Linked DNA regions of Macaca fascicularis. The protein of the gene in region 1 purifies or fractionates together with the protein of each later gene. This does not show direct contact. Links are inferred from orthologs where the notes say so. Each region holds a gene or a part of one and is shown in the gene's direction. Other genes may lie near its edges.

Region 1 (4,546 bases):
GGTATTGTCAAATCCAGATTTATATGACCAGATTTTTCACTTACTAATTTCTGGGACCCTAGGCAATTACTAGAATGTCTTGAAGACCTAATTTCCTGCAGCACTACCTCATAGAGTTGCTTTTAAAAAGTATTGATAGCTTACAGACGGTACTATTATAAGTGCTTCAAATATATAAACTCAATCCTCATAAAGATTCTGAGGTAGGTATTACTAGCCTCATTTCATGTAAGAACAAACTGAGGCACAAAGAGGTCATATAGCTTGTTAACGGTTGTATAGCTAGTGTCTGGCAAAACCAGAAATCTTAACTTCATTTCCAGAGTCTGTGGTTTAACCACTGTTTACACTGACTGTCTATAATAGCATATAGTAAGATAAGATTAGAACTAAATAGGGTGCATTCCACTGCAAAGTTCTTTCTCACCTCCTTCTACTCCATTATTTGTTGAATATTTACTGATCCCCATGTTGTCTTGCAACTGTGATAGATAATAGAGAACAAGGGTGAACACAGCATATCTGGTTCTTGCTCTCCTGGAGGTTCTGGCCATTAAGCAAATAACAATTCCTCTCAAGGTTCTCAGGCTTCCCTGTTTTCTCCTGTTTCCCTGTCTGCCCAGCAGTACTCCAGCCAACCAATCTAAGACTGACAAGCGTCAGCAGAGAACAGGGTCTCCAGGAGGTCTGTGGCGAGGGCCAGGCTATTTATGGGGAAGAGACAGACATTTCCCTGGTTTAGTGATCTTGTTTTCTCTCCGAACCTCCGCTTAAAATGGCGGGATTTGTACCAAGGTTCTTTACCGCACTAACCTTCCGTTATTCACCCTTCTTCCCACCCCCAAGGCCCGTCGGGCCTATCCCTGACCCGCGTTCCAGCACTTGAGGTGCATTTCGGCACCTGGATCCCTAGATACTGTTTTTCCCCGCGTTGAGACTTCCGAATTCCACCAGGTCTCTCTCTCGCGGTCTCTGTCCCGCCCCTCGCACCCAGGCCCCGCGCCCGCGGTGGGCTGCCGCCCGGGACCGAAGCTCTCAGAGCCCGCAGCCCTGGTTCACCAACCGCTGGGCGGGAGCCAGGCCCGACCTTTGACTGGCGGGCGGGGTGGTCTGCACTTGGCCCCAGAAAAAGTCTGGCACGGGCCAATCGCAGGGAGGCAAAGGGTAGCTCTGGAGGTCCCGGCCAGACGCATTGGTCACCCAGGCCAAGCAGGCGTCGGGGCCTGGGCACAGGCAGAGCTCGCGGCCCCGACTGCGGCCATTGTGCTTGGCTGCCTCTCCTCAACGCCTGGTGGGCTGGGCAGAAATGGGAGAAGCGCCGAGAGCGCCACTGAAACGACTTTCCCCTACTCTCAGATACTGTGCTTTCATCTAGTGAAAGAGACAGGGTAAAGGTTTGGGTTCTTTCTGCTGCATAGGAAGAGGACAAGAAACGAAAAGAGTGGGGGCGGGAGGCAGAAGCCGCGAGCCTCTGCGCGCGCCCGGTCACGTGGGCCGCAGGGACCGCATGGCGGCGGCCTGCGCGCCCCCGCGTTCCTGCCGGCCAGGCTGACCGGGCGCGCGCGCCGACGGGGCGGGCGCATGCGCAAGGGGGCGCGCCGCCTCTGCCCCGCGGCGAGGGTGTCTATGGAGAGGCGGCGGCCGCGGCTGCTGAGGCGGAGGCTGAGGCAGTGGCGATGGCGCCCTTCCCTGAAGAAGTGGACGTCTTCACCGCCCCACACTGGCGGATGAAGCAGCTGGTGGGGCTCTACTGCGACAAGGTAACGGAGCGCCAAGCCTCCTGCTGTGGGCGGTGCGGGCGGCGATGGGGAGCTGGCTGGGTTACTGGGGCGGCCTGGCCTGTGCCGCGCCCGCAGCCCCGTGCCGTCGCCGCGCGAGTAGCCGCCTGCGCAGCTGTCAGCGCTGCCGGTTCCCGCAGCCTCCCCGCCCGCTGCGGGGCCCTCGCAGAGCCGGCCTCCCCGCCTGGCCGCCGCCTCGGACGTGCTCTCGGGGCGGGCGGCGTCCCCTGCCGAGGGCCTGGCGCCTGAGGAGGGGCGCTGCCGGGGTCACTGGCCGCCCTCGCGCCGGCCCCACCGCCGCCCTGGGCCTCCCGCTGCTGCCTCTAAGGAGAGCGGCCCTACCTCCCCGAAGCCCTGGGTGCCCCGGCCGGCCACCTGCGGTGGACTCCCATCCGCACCGAGCAGTTGTTCCCGTTCTCCGTCACTCCCCCGGGCCTGTTCGGGGCTCTCCGTGCAGACACCCACCCATCCTCTGAACCTCTCGCTGGCTTCCTGGCTGGAACTGCGGCGTCTCCCAGCTACCGGGTTCCTTTTACCCCCAGCTTTTTTCACTGGTTTGATTTGGGGGAAAAGCCAAGTTTAGAACTGAAGAACCTTCACTCTTCATATGTCGTTATCGTTTTCTTTGCAACTTTTATTGCCTTGACCACTTACTAGATGTAGATTTTGTTATAAGACAGCAATTCTTGGAATTCTTTACATAAGCTCGAATAAAGGGGGCCTCGGGAAAAGTTGGTTTAACTGTGAGAACCATTTTGGGCTCATAATTGGTGCAGCATAAGCTGAAGAGGCACTTTTGTGGAGATGATTCAGGGCCCTTTGCTAATGATTTTAAAACAATATTTAACATTCCACATATTTGTCAGTTTATGTTGGGAAAAGTCACATGGATATCTGCAAACCTCAGGCAGTCCCGTTTCTTGTGGAAATGATCCAACTACATAAAGCATTCAAATGACTACTGTTTAAGCATAGAAATCAACTTTTAGGAATTCTCAGAAATTGCATAGCATTATGCAGAACCATTGTCTACAGAAAAGAGGGGTGTTTCATAGTTAAGCCAGGCGATTGGAGAATGCCCAGGGTGTTCACTGCTAGGCCACACTCAAGACCAGCAATTTAAAGCAGTGACGTTGAATTTCAAATCTTAGCACTCCATCTTCTCCCTCCCTCCATTCTGAAAATTTAGAAATACCCAGTTCACACGTAGTTGGAAACACCAGGACTGTCTAGGACAGTGGTTTGCAACCTCGGATGCTTATTAGCCTTAACCTAAAAACTATTAGAAATCCTGATGTTTATGTGACTAAAATTAGGATTTCACCCAGACATCAGTTATAGATGATTAAAGCTCTCCAGTTGAGTGCAGTATGCAGCTGAGGGTGAGAACCACTTATCTAGGAGAAGCATGAGGAATGGTTAAGCCATTAATGGAAAGGGTATATCCCTGAATTTTTTAGTTAGCAGTATTGTTGTGTTTTTATCCTCTCTGGCTTTTGAATTTGGTTCATTCAGACAACATTCTTTAATAGCAGGAAAGAAAAAAATTGGTCTCAAAAATCGAAAGTGGAAGTTGAGACTAACAGAATCCAAGTTTTCTCTCCAGTTTAAACTGTGGAGAGGTAGCCTACGATCAACTGAAATTATATGGAGAATTTTGTGCATGTGCCCATTTTCCTAGGGGGTTTGTAGCTTTCATCGATTTCCAGATGATTGTGACCTCCCAAAATAATCACAATTTAATTTACTTGCAGACTACGCTCACCAGCCTTATTTTAAAATTTTCAACAAGTTAGTCACTCTTTTTCTGTGTCTCTTCCTGGTGGTTGAGAATATTTGAACAAATTTTGAAAATGCAGTTGCTTTTTTACAAAATATCTGAGTCAAGTAAGATTCTTTTCAGTAATGTTCCTATTTGCATAACTAGTTTAATAAAGCATTTTCAATTTGACATAGTGTAAGTCAAAATTATTACTAATTCTGAATTAATTAGATATAGTTAATGAGATTGTTGTATATGTTTATGAAGAAGATTAAAAGTCCAATTTTCTGAACTGAGACCGAGGAGATTTAGGGAAAAAAAAAACTGCATAGGAATTTTACATCCAGATTTCTTCTTGATAATGATAGCCAATGGAAATCTCTCTTAGGATGTCCTTTGGGAGCTAGAGTGGAAAATAATTATTTTGTAATGGCTCAGTAATCTTAAAGGAATTAAAGGAAGAGTACCTTGTTTGTTTTTATTCATTTATCATCTCACGTTTTGCCATTATCCTTTGGTTGTATAGACCAAGGATATCCCATTGAACACAGTTTACAATAAAACTATACAAAATGAGAACTAGTTTTTATGCTCAAACTAAAAAGGTACAAAATAGTTATTTCACTGTACTGTAGTCCAAATTTGGGCTCTGAATGCCCAGTTATTATAAAGAAGTCAGTTACTATTTTCAATACTGAACTTCTCAAGTACAATGTATTTTAGAAGCATCCATTTATTTGCTAGCATCAAGTAAACCACTTATATGCTTAAACTAGTTAGTATAATGTGTTCCAAAGTTATCTTAGTCTACTTATTTTTTAGGTAGAAAGTTGAATAGGATGAGAAAATAAAACAAATTTTCAAAAGCTGACAGATGTATGTCTTAGACCATTTTAAATATTGCTGTCTAATACCTGATTTAATACTTTGCCCATAGATTTCTTTTTACATTTGTAAAAAGTTTTATGGAAAGGATTTTCACCTTTGTTATCCAGACAACAGTGCT
Region 2 (4,722 bases), on another chromosome or scaffold:
GGTGCTCAACCTCTTGGGATCTGGGCTTTGACATGGAGAGGAGGACAAAGATCCATCTGGAATCCAGATAAGTTTTGAAGGTCCCTTTGAGCTCTCAAGTCTACGATTTTATTCCCAGCAGGTCCTTGCAACACCCTCAAAGAAGGAAGTGAGTGTAAGACCCAGAAAAATGACCGACAGACCTCTTTCCGGGGCGAAATGCCAGGGCAAGCGGGGTGTACCATGAAAGTGAGAAAGCGTTGAGAAACCGGCCTCGAGAATCACCAGCGAGCGATCTCACTCCCACAGCTAGGAAGGATCCCAACAATTCCGAGGGTGACTCTCACCCCGCACCCCATCTTTTATAGACTCCCAGACGACCGAGAGGCTCTAAAAACCCCTGCGGGAAAAATAAAGATTTCTTTCCCAGAGTCCTGCGCTGCTTTGCAAGTCGGATTCCGGCAGACACGATCTGCAGCCCGATAATGACACAGTCTTTGGAAGGAGCGACTGTTCTCGCCCCGCTCGCTCCAAGTTCTGGGGACGCCTGGCTGCCCGCGCCGTGCCCCGACGGGCCGGTGTCCGACCCCGGCCGGAGCTGCCAGGCCAGCGGCGCCCTCGCCCCGGGCCCTCCCCGCAATCCGTCGGCCCCGCTGCGGTCTGCAAACATTTCCTGCCCCCACCCCCACCAGGAGCTTCCCAGTTGGAGAGAGTTGGTCGCGCAGCCGGCTCAGTGCTCGCAGTTGCCCCAACTCAGCTCGCCCGGCGCTGGGGAGCGGCCCCGTCTGGTTGCGGAGCAGGCTATCGGGGAAACCCAAGCGCCAGCACCAGTGGGGAGTCTATCGGTAAGCCTAGAGCTCGGGCGAGGAGGGGGACAACTGGCGGGGTGCCCGAGGCCCTGCTCCCTTCCCCGTCGTTACCTGCTCGCTTGCGGGGGTGTCCCGGGGCTGCCGGCCTCTCCCGCCGCTGTCTCCCCACGCAGTTGCCCATGCTGGCTCCTCAGCCAGTCCCCATGCACCGGAGGCGGCGAGGTGGTCGGCTGCTCCGCGCTCCTGCCCCGGACGGCGGCGTCCCGGGTCAACGGCTCCGGCCGCCCGGCATCTGGCGCTCCCCGATCTCCCCCCGGGGGCGCGCTCAGCCCCGGCGCTGGCTCCGGCAAAACTTTGCGGGCCAGGGGAGAGAGGGAGGTGGCAGACTCCCTAGCACAGTCCCAGGTGGCCGGGCCAGGGGGGCCCGCGACGGTGCCCGGCCGGAGACCAGCTCCGCTGGAGGGGCGGAGAGAGGGGGCGGGCACCGCCGCAGCTACTCCCGGTCGCTCGGGGCTCCAGGCAGGGGCCGGCCCCCTGGAGCCTGTCACTCACCTGCCTAACCCCGCCCCAGGCCGGCCCCGCTCCCCACCGCCGGCTCGCGGTGCCCGCGCCGCCGCCACCACCCGCCCCAGGTGCGCATGTGACCGACAGCACCGCCCCCTCGGGCTGGGCCTGATTTTCTCATTGGCTTCCCCCGTGGTGCGTACCGCCCCTCTCCCCACCCAGCCAGGTGCCCGCCCCGCCGCCCGTCTCCCGGGGAGCCGGGCCGGGAATTATTCGCCCTCAATGGCCTCCGGCTGCGTGCCCAGCAGCCGCCTTCCCTCTCGGTGCCGCCGCCCCATTCCAGGCCCCGCCCCTCCATGGAACTGCCTGGCTAGAAGCCGGTAGGCACGTGACCCGGTGCGCCCCGCCCCCTTGGCCTTCTCCCCGCGATTGCCTCGGGAGGCGCATGCGCGGAGAGGCCCGTCTCTTGCCACCGCCCATATCCCCTCCCACGGTCTCTTGTTCGCGTCATGGCCGCCGCCGCGGCTCTGGAGGCGGCGGCGCCTACGGGCGCCCTATGGGGCCTCGTGCACGACTTCGTCATGGGTCAACAAGAGGGCCCCGCTGACCAGGTGGCTGCAGGTACGGCAGACGGCGCCGCGCGCCTTCCGCATGGGGGCCAACAGGAGGGAGCGGCCTCGGTACAGGCGCCGGGCGGGAAAGGAGGAGCGGGTGACTTTGAGAGATTGGTCTCAAGGCTGGTTAGTGAGCACCGCGAGCTTCAGAGCCGTAACAAGTTGGAGAGTTGCCTGTGTCTTCCTTAAAACCATTTACACTTTTCATCTCCCTATAGCCAATTATAGGGAATTATTACATTTTACAGATGAGGAAACTGAGGCTCAGCGAGGGCAAGAGGACTTGCGCAGGGCTGCAGACAAGGCAGGAGGGGGAGCTGGGACTCGGACCCAGGCGTTCACGTCCGAACCGGGTGCTCAAGCCACGAAGCCACGCTGTTTGTGGGAGGTTGACGTGTGGAGGTGCATCCTCGCAGCGTCCGCTCCCGTCGCGTGGCATCCTGGGAGTGGCGGATGGCCCCGCGCTCTGACTGGCTGGAATTAAGAGGAGGCGAGGAGTCGGGCCAGGAGGAGCTGGAGATGTTCTGGGTGTCCTCCTTAAGACTTTCTCTCCGTTTCTTGCCAAAGTTCTTGATTAGTTTGCTCCATGACGTTTTATGTGGCGTTTGTTTTTATCTTCTTCCCAGACCCCCACTTTGCCTGCTTTTGACAAGTTCAGAGATCTCTTAGTTCAGACAGCTTATCTAAAATTAGAATAAAACAATTTCCAGGCTTCCGTGGAGTTCTGAGACTTTGCTCTTCTAGGAAAAAAAAATCTACTAAAAAGTTATTGAATGTTAGGAAGGCTTCAGATCTTGGGTTTAAGTAACAATATAAAATTGTCTAATGGGTAGTTTAAAAAATTTTGGAAATTTCGCATGCTTGGAGAGAAGTAAGGACACATTTCTCTTGCAAACTGAGCGTATTAACCTTTAGAATGTGTAAGAAAAGAATAGTGAATCTGCTGGAAATAAAATACTTTGTTCGTTAGCAGTATTCCACTTTGATTCAGTCATGCCACTATTGTTGAACACATATTATTTCCCAAACATGATGCAAAGCCTAAGGAATATAAATACAAATTAGGTTAGATCTGTGCCCACCGGAAACTTATAGTATGCTGGGAGAGGCAACTATTCTATAAGAGGGATGTGCAGGGTAATTTGGAAGCATCAAGGAGCAAATACCTGGTGCTGCCACCAAACAACATCTTACAATTTTATGAAATGTAGTGTGTTATCAGTGTTTACAATTTACAAGTACAGTGTCTTAATAATGTCGTTTTCCCTCATGTTTTATTATGAAAATTTTCAAATATCCAGCCAAGTATAAAGAATTTTATAAGGAATACATCACTTAGGATCTGCTTTATCATACAGCTATCCATCTATTTAAATTGCAGATACCTGTACACTTTCCTTTAAATACTTTGGCATGGATATCATTGACTAGAGTTTGTTGACGGTTTATTTTGGTGTAAAATGTATATTCAATGAAATATATAAATCTTTAAGTGTACATTCACTGATTTTGACTAATGCATATACCTATACAATCCAACCCCCTACCAAGATACAGAACATTACTATATCAGTGTCATTTGTGATGAGTCTTTCACATTTATGCAATATGAAAACAATAATTACTGATTTTTTGGATTCAGAACATATTTTGAAAAAATATCTTGAATGTCTTATCTTGAATAAGGACTTCTAAATTCTTCTCTTTTTTTTTTTTTTTTTTTTGAGACAAGGTCCCGCTCTGTCTGCCAGGCTGGAGTGCAATGTTGAAATCATGGCTCACTGTAGCCTCGACCTATGCTCAAGCAATCCTCCTGCCTCAGCCTCCCGGAGTAGCTGGGACAACAGGGCTTGTGCCACTGCGCTCGGCTAATTTTTGTATTGTAGTGACAAGGTTTCACCATGTTGCATAGCTTGGTCTCTAACTCCAGGACTGAAGCCATCCTCCCATCTCAGCCTCCCGAAGTGCTGGAATCACAGGCATGAGCCACTGGGACTGCTTAATTCTTACAAATGTTTTTGCAAAATTTATATTTTTGTTTCTTTCCGGAAAAAATGGTCTAAACTGTTTAGTTTGAATTCAACTCAGCTGATCTAAGACTGTAACACTAACCCTGTTGTAATTTAGCCCTCTTAAGAAAGTTGGTGCTGGGCACGGTGGCTCATGCCTGTAATGCCAACACTTCGAGAGGCCAAAGTAGGCAGATCGCTTGAGCCCAGGAGTTTGAGACCAGCCTGGCCAACATGGTGAAACCCCGTCTCTACCGAAAATGCAAAAATTAGCCAGGCGTGGTGGTGCATGCCTGTAATCCCAGCTACTCAGGAGGCTGAGGCTGGAGAATCGCTTGAGCCTGGGAGGTGGAGGCTGCAGTGAGCAGAAATCACGCCCCTGTACTCCAGCCTGGGCGACAGAGCAAGACTTCCGTCTCAAAAAAAGAAAAGAGGCCGGGCGCAGTGGCTCAAGCCTGTAATCCCAGCACTTTGGGAGGCCGAGGCGGGCGGATCACAAGGTCAGGAGATCGAGACCACAATGAAACCCCGTCTCTACTAAAAATACAAAAAATTAGCCGGGCGCGGTGGCGGGCGCCTGTAGTCCCAGCTACTCAGGAGGCTGAGGCAGGAGAATGGCGGGAACCCGGGAGGCGGAGCTTGCAGTGAGCCGAGATCGCGCCACTGCACTCCAGCCTGGGCAACAGCGTGAGACTCCGTCTCAAAAAAAACCAAAAAAAAAACAAAAAAAGAAAAGAAAAGAAAGTTGATACAGAGGAACAGTAACAGATAAAAGTTGAAAAGGTTTGGTGGGGTTGGATTCTGCAT
Region 3 (4,798 bases), on another chromosome or scaffold:
AGGTTAAGTAAGACCAATGACAGACATATAGCAGGCTTCAGCTAGAAGTGGCAGGCAGTCTGCATAGTGAGAAAATAGATGAAGAAAAACTCAGCAAATGGAGAAACATACAAAGCAAGAGGGGAGAGTGTAATGAAAGACCGTAAAAAAGAGGGGCCAAAGAGGGAAGAGGTGACTCCTAAGAGTGGAGGGCTAAAAAGCCAAAAGGAGGTTAACATTTCAAGGAAAACGAATCGCCCGTGTCAAATACCACAGAGCAGTGAGTAAGGACAGGAACTGAGGACAGGCCCTGGGATTCACGATCTGCATGTCACTGGTGACAACGTCCAAGAACAACAGACTGGGGGAATGTGGAACTATTTCCTTCACGGTTTTGGCCAGCATGCTTACTAATAAATCTCAATTCCCTTCATAGCTCTGATTTGATTATTTACTGCAAAGGATTCTCAGTTACACGGATGCTATCATTGAACATTAGATACTTCGCTTTCCGAATGGCTGCCTCATTAAGAATTGAAATCTAGCTGGATGTGTCCTCATCGGACTTCCCCAGCCTTCTACTCGCTCTCACCTTGCCCTACTCTCCCTACCTCCGAAGGAGAATGGAGCACGATTTTGCAGAGATTGTGGTGCACCTCTGCCATATGGTGGAGACTCAAAGAAAATTTAATTACTAATGTGAATGGAAAGGATTTAGGAAGTGGGTGGGAAGAAAGTCTCCTCTCATATTGGAAATACAGTTACTTCCTCTTTCAAAATAAATATAAGTATTTATATTTCAAAGTTAAATATAACTAGATGATAGATGTACCCTATAGTGCAGCATGACAGGGAAGGTGTAGGCTTTGGCGTCAAATCAACCTACGGACTGAGTCTCAGCTGTTGCACATTGCACACCTGCAAAGACGGGTAATATTCTTTACCTGTAGGGTGGTTGGAAGAGCTGAACTGAGTAACGTGGAAAGAGTCCATCACAGGGCTTTGTGCAGAGTAGAAGGGCAGTATAAGGTAGCAGGGGGCTATTAGTACTGGCTATTGTTTACTCATCCTATAAGCTGCTTATTCGGAAAACTACAGTAACTTTCCAAATAATTTGGGCGGGAAAAACTCACCACCTTTTATCTAGAAAGATCTAATCACTTCTTTGAACGCACATTCACCCAAAAGGGCAAAACTCCAACCAACATGAAAAGCAGGTCTTGTGAAAGTCCACCTAGTGCCATCTCCCAGCCATTTTTCTGACTTCAGATCGGGGAACATCGTGTATTAGAAAGTGTTGTGACATGTCCAAGGAAATCTACACATAGAACTTTTGCCACGGAAATGCTGAAGTCCTACTCTGACAGCGTGACTCCGATGCCCACTTGGCAGGCTTTGCGCAAAGAATTAAGGCGAGGTTGGAGAGGGTGGGTAGGGACAAAGTGAGAAGGGAGGCGGACGAAGTGACCACACGTACATGAAACCTTTGCATGAAACCTCTGCAGTACATGAAACCTCTGCAGTTATGGCCAAATCATGTTTTTTAAATAATTCCATTTCTTCCCTACCCTTTGGTCACTTCCTAACGCCGGCTGGACGTTAGGAATGCTAAGCCCCAAAGTGAGCAAGACACCCTCGTCCCAGGACTCAGGCTGGCAGAAGCGGACCGGGCGGAGGGATCAGCTCTCCCACATCCTACGGAGGAGCCTTTCGCAACCCTCGACTCCTGCCCCGGGCGAAGTCCTCCGGGCCCGCGAGGGCGCCCGCAGGCTCCGCCCCTTCCTCGGCTCGCTGCCCGCCAGTCCCGCCCCTGCTCCGCCCATCGCGCGGCGGCCCCGGGGGCGAGAGGGGGCGGAGCGTGGAGGCGGCAGCTGAAACCGCGCAGCGCACGGGGACGCGTCCCGCTCCTTGGGTCTGGTGCGCCGGTCGCGGGAGCCCCACCGTGCAGTCGGAGGTGAGTACCGACGTTGCCCGGCCCACGTCCCCAGGCGGGAGCGCCGTCCACCCTGTATCCTTCGGGAGTCGGTGCGGGCCTTTACCGAGGTGCCTGAGGCAGTGCGGCCCGGGGGACTCGGAGGCGAGCTTGTGGAGGCTGAGAGGAGAATCGGGGACGTGTTTCTGGCGACTGACGTCCCCCCCAGTCCCCAGTCTATGCCATGCCGAAGAGAGGGACCAGGGATTGGAAATGGCTTTCCTAGACCCTCTTAGCCTTGGCTGTGCGTGCTGTCCTGAAAGTCCTTGTCTAGGGTGTGCGGCCGATCCTGGGAGTCCTAACCCCGAGGCCGTGAGGCCCGCACTGGGAGTCATCGCCCAGGCCCGGCTAGCTGGGTAGGGAAACGCTTGCTAAAGTTGTGCGGGCAGATCCGGGAATGCACTCCAAGGGGTAAAGGGAAAATGGGATGAGGGGGAAGAGACCCTTACGTGGGAGGCTTGAACACAGAGCCCACCCTGATAGATTCAGAGATCCAGAAAGGAGCTTGGGCTGCAGTTATGACCAAGTCATTTTTTTCCACGTTTAGCTAGCACATCGTAATGGCATCTTCCTTCTTGCAACACACACAATTCTCTTCCCTGGGGGACAACCTCTAGGACAGAAGTCCCCAAACTTTTTTGGGACTCAGTACCCCTTTACACTCTTAAAAATTAGTATCTTAAGGAGCTTTTATGTGAGTTATATCTATCCATATTTATAATGTGTAAGACAGAAATTTCTACTATATTTAATAATTCATTTAAAAAGAATAATGAGCTAATTATATCTTAATATTGCCTATTTTTGTGAAAAAGAACTATATTTTCCAAAACAGAAAATTATTGAGAAGAATGGCATTGTTTTACATTTTTGCAAATCTCTTTGATGTCAAGCATAATTGAAGACAGCTGGATTTCGATAGCTGCTTCTGCAGTCTGTTGCAGTATCGCATATCATGTAGCCTCTTGAGACCTCCATTGTATACTCCTGAAAATGCGTGAGTGAAAAAAAGCGAGTAACGTTTTATTACTATGAAAGTGGTTTTTGACCTTGGAGATCCCTAGGAGTTCTCTGCACCACACTTTGAGGATGCTTCAGAGGCTTCATTCATTGGGCCTGCTTCTTGTTTGTGATCCTTCCTCTGAATGGGAACACTCACCACCCCATGCCATGGACAGTGTTAACTTCTGGTATCTGGAACCAAGTTGGATCTCACTTTGGAAACCATGTACTAGGTCCCCTGTGAGGCTGTGATGAACCTTGCCAGCCTCCTGAAAAGTCAGCACGGTTTCACACATGCCTTTGGTTGTTTCTGTGCCTGCAGAACTGACCTGTCTGTTCATCAGGATTACAACAGTGATGTGGCAAACAGGACATGTGGGCTCAGAAAAGTACCAATGGGAAGACCGTGCCAAGTGTGTAGGGGTTCGTGTGATAGTTACCAAGTAGTCAGGAAGTTATTTCCCAAAGAACAGGGAGGCATGCTTTTGCCTTCCCTTGCACGTGTTCATTGCTGTTTGCAGTTGCATGGTTATTAGCCTTGAGTTTATTGGAATAATGATTCCCAGTCTTGATGTTCTTTCACTTTCCACTTTCAGAGGTGTATCACTCTGAGTGATGCTTCCTCAGCCCCTGTCAAAAAGCAATTTCCACCATCCTGCAGTGTGGTAGGTGAGGTCCTTCATGGGACTCTTTCCTTAGCTTTGTGCCTTGTCAGAACAAGTTCAAGACAGATGTTACGTGTATATATATGGGATGAAGAAATTTTCTGACTCCATCCTCCCTTTTGTTCCTTCATCCATAGAGCCTCTTGTGCTCTGATGGATTAGTTTAAATGCTACGGCCGATACTTGAGAAGTGTTGCATGCACATGAGCATGTTGTGTGTGTTGCACAGTCCACAGGTGAGAAGGAGAAGTCCACAGGAGAAGGAAATGGGATCTAAACTCTGAGCACCTGCTGTGTTCTTTGTATTAAAAAATTCCACTTTGGTGATGGGGTCTCATTCCTTCATTCTTTCAGTAGATTTTTATTGGCCACCTCTTTCTCATGTGTCCAGTTACGTGCGGGATGCCAGGAAAGTAGTGAGCACAAAAGATGCAGTCCCTGTCTTTCTGGCAATTATGGTCTGATAGCTTAGATAACTGCTGGTTAATTGAGATAGTCTGTTGTCAGAGTGTACATGAAAGCTGGTCCTGTGTGAAGAGCAGTACCCCCTACCTAAAGTGTGCCTCAGAGGCATGTGCTGAAGAAACCAGAGTCCCACACTGTGAAGATGATGATAAAAACCAACGCGTATCACCAGGTACCTGGCAAAGAACTTCCTTTTCCTTCTTTCCCCCACTCTTCCTTCTACGTAGGAAGTAATTTCCTGGGAGGCAGCCAGACTCACAGGGAAATTACCTCCAACCTGGTGCCAGTCACTGGGCCAGCCTCGGGTTAAGACACCTTCTCTGGGTCTCAATGTCTTTGACTTTAAAATGAGGAGTTAGGCCATTGATAGTAAGTGTCCCAAGGCATACTAGCGTTTGTGCATATCTCTTCCTAATTCCGTGTTCAGTGGCAACACCTTTTTTTAGATTGAAATAAGCCATGGTGGGAATAATTACACCATGGAAATCAGCAAATACTACATCAGAGTTTTTTTTTCCTCCTGGAATTCAAGTTGTTAAACCTTTGCCAGCTGACACTGCTATTGTCTGAGCTAAGGTGCTTTTGGTTTGTTTTCTTAGTAGAAAACAGACTCTTTAGCCTAGACAAGATCCTAGATATAGGGTGTATGATTCAAGTCCTCTAAAATTTTTGATAAGAAAAAAATATGTTTTCATCATATTCTAAAATATAGATC

What was found.
Region 2: the proteins of FBXL5 (region 1) and MMS19 purify together in Homo sapiens (affinity purification with mass spectrometry; 4 studies listed by BioGRID and IntAct, counting the BioPlex papers as one, with this or other methods). This does not show direct contact. The link is inferred for Macaca fascicularis from reciprocal best matches to the Homo sapiens genes FBXL5 and MMS19.
Region 3: the proteins of FBXL5 (region 1) and ACO1 purify together in Homo sapiens (affinity purification with western blotting; 3 studies listed by BioGRID, with this or other methods). This does not show direct contact. The link is inferred for Macaca fascicularis from reciprocal best matches to the Homo sapiens genes FBXL5 and ACO1.

Annotation. Positions count from the first base shown.
Region 1 is NC_088379.1:14,799,569-14,804,114, reverse strand, and holds the start of FBXL5 (F-box/LRR-repeat protein 5), read left to right. Parts: upstream 1-1,606; 5' UTR 1,607-1,676; coding exon 1,677-1,760; intron 1,761-4,546.
Region 2 is NC_088383.1:106,448,467-106,453,188, reverse strand, and holds the start of MMS19 (MMS19 nucleotide excision repair protein homolog), read left to right. Parts: upstream 1-1,772; 5' UTR 1,773-1,801; coding exon 1,802-1,913; intron 1,914-4,722. Other genes in the region: UBTD1 (ubiquitin domain-containing protein 1), read right to left, coding at 900-969. UniProt on the Homo sapiens protein: Key component of the cytosolic iron-sulfur protein assembly (CIA) complex, a multiprotein complex that mediates the incorporation of iron-sulfur cluster into apoproteins specifically involved in DNA metabolism and genomic integrity.
Region 3 is NC_088389.1:66,706,852-66,711,649, reverse strand, and holds the start of ACO1 (cytoplasmic aconitate hydratase), read left to right. Parts: upstream 1-1,848; 5' UTR 1,849-1,933; intron 1,934-4,798. UniProt on the Homo sapiens protein: Bifunctional iron sensor that switches between 2 activities depending on iron availability. Iron deprivation, promotes its mRNA binding activity through which it regulates the expression of genes involved in iron uptake, sequestration and utilization.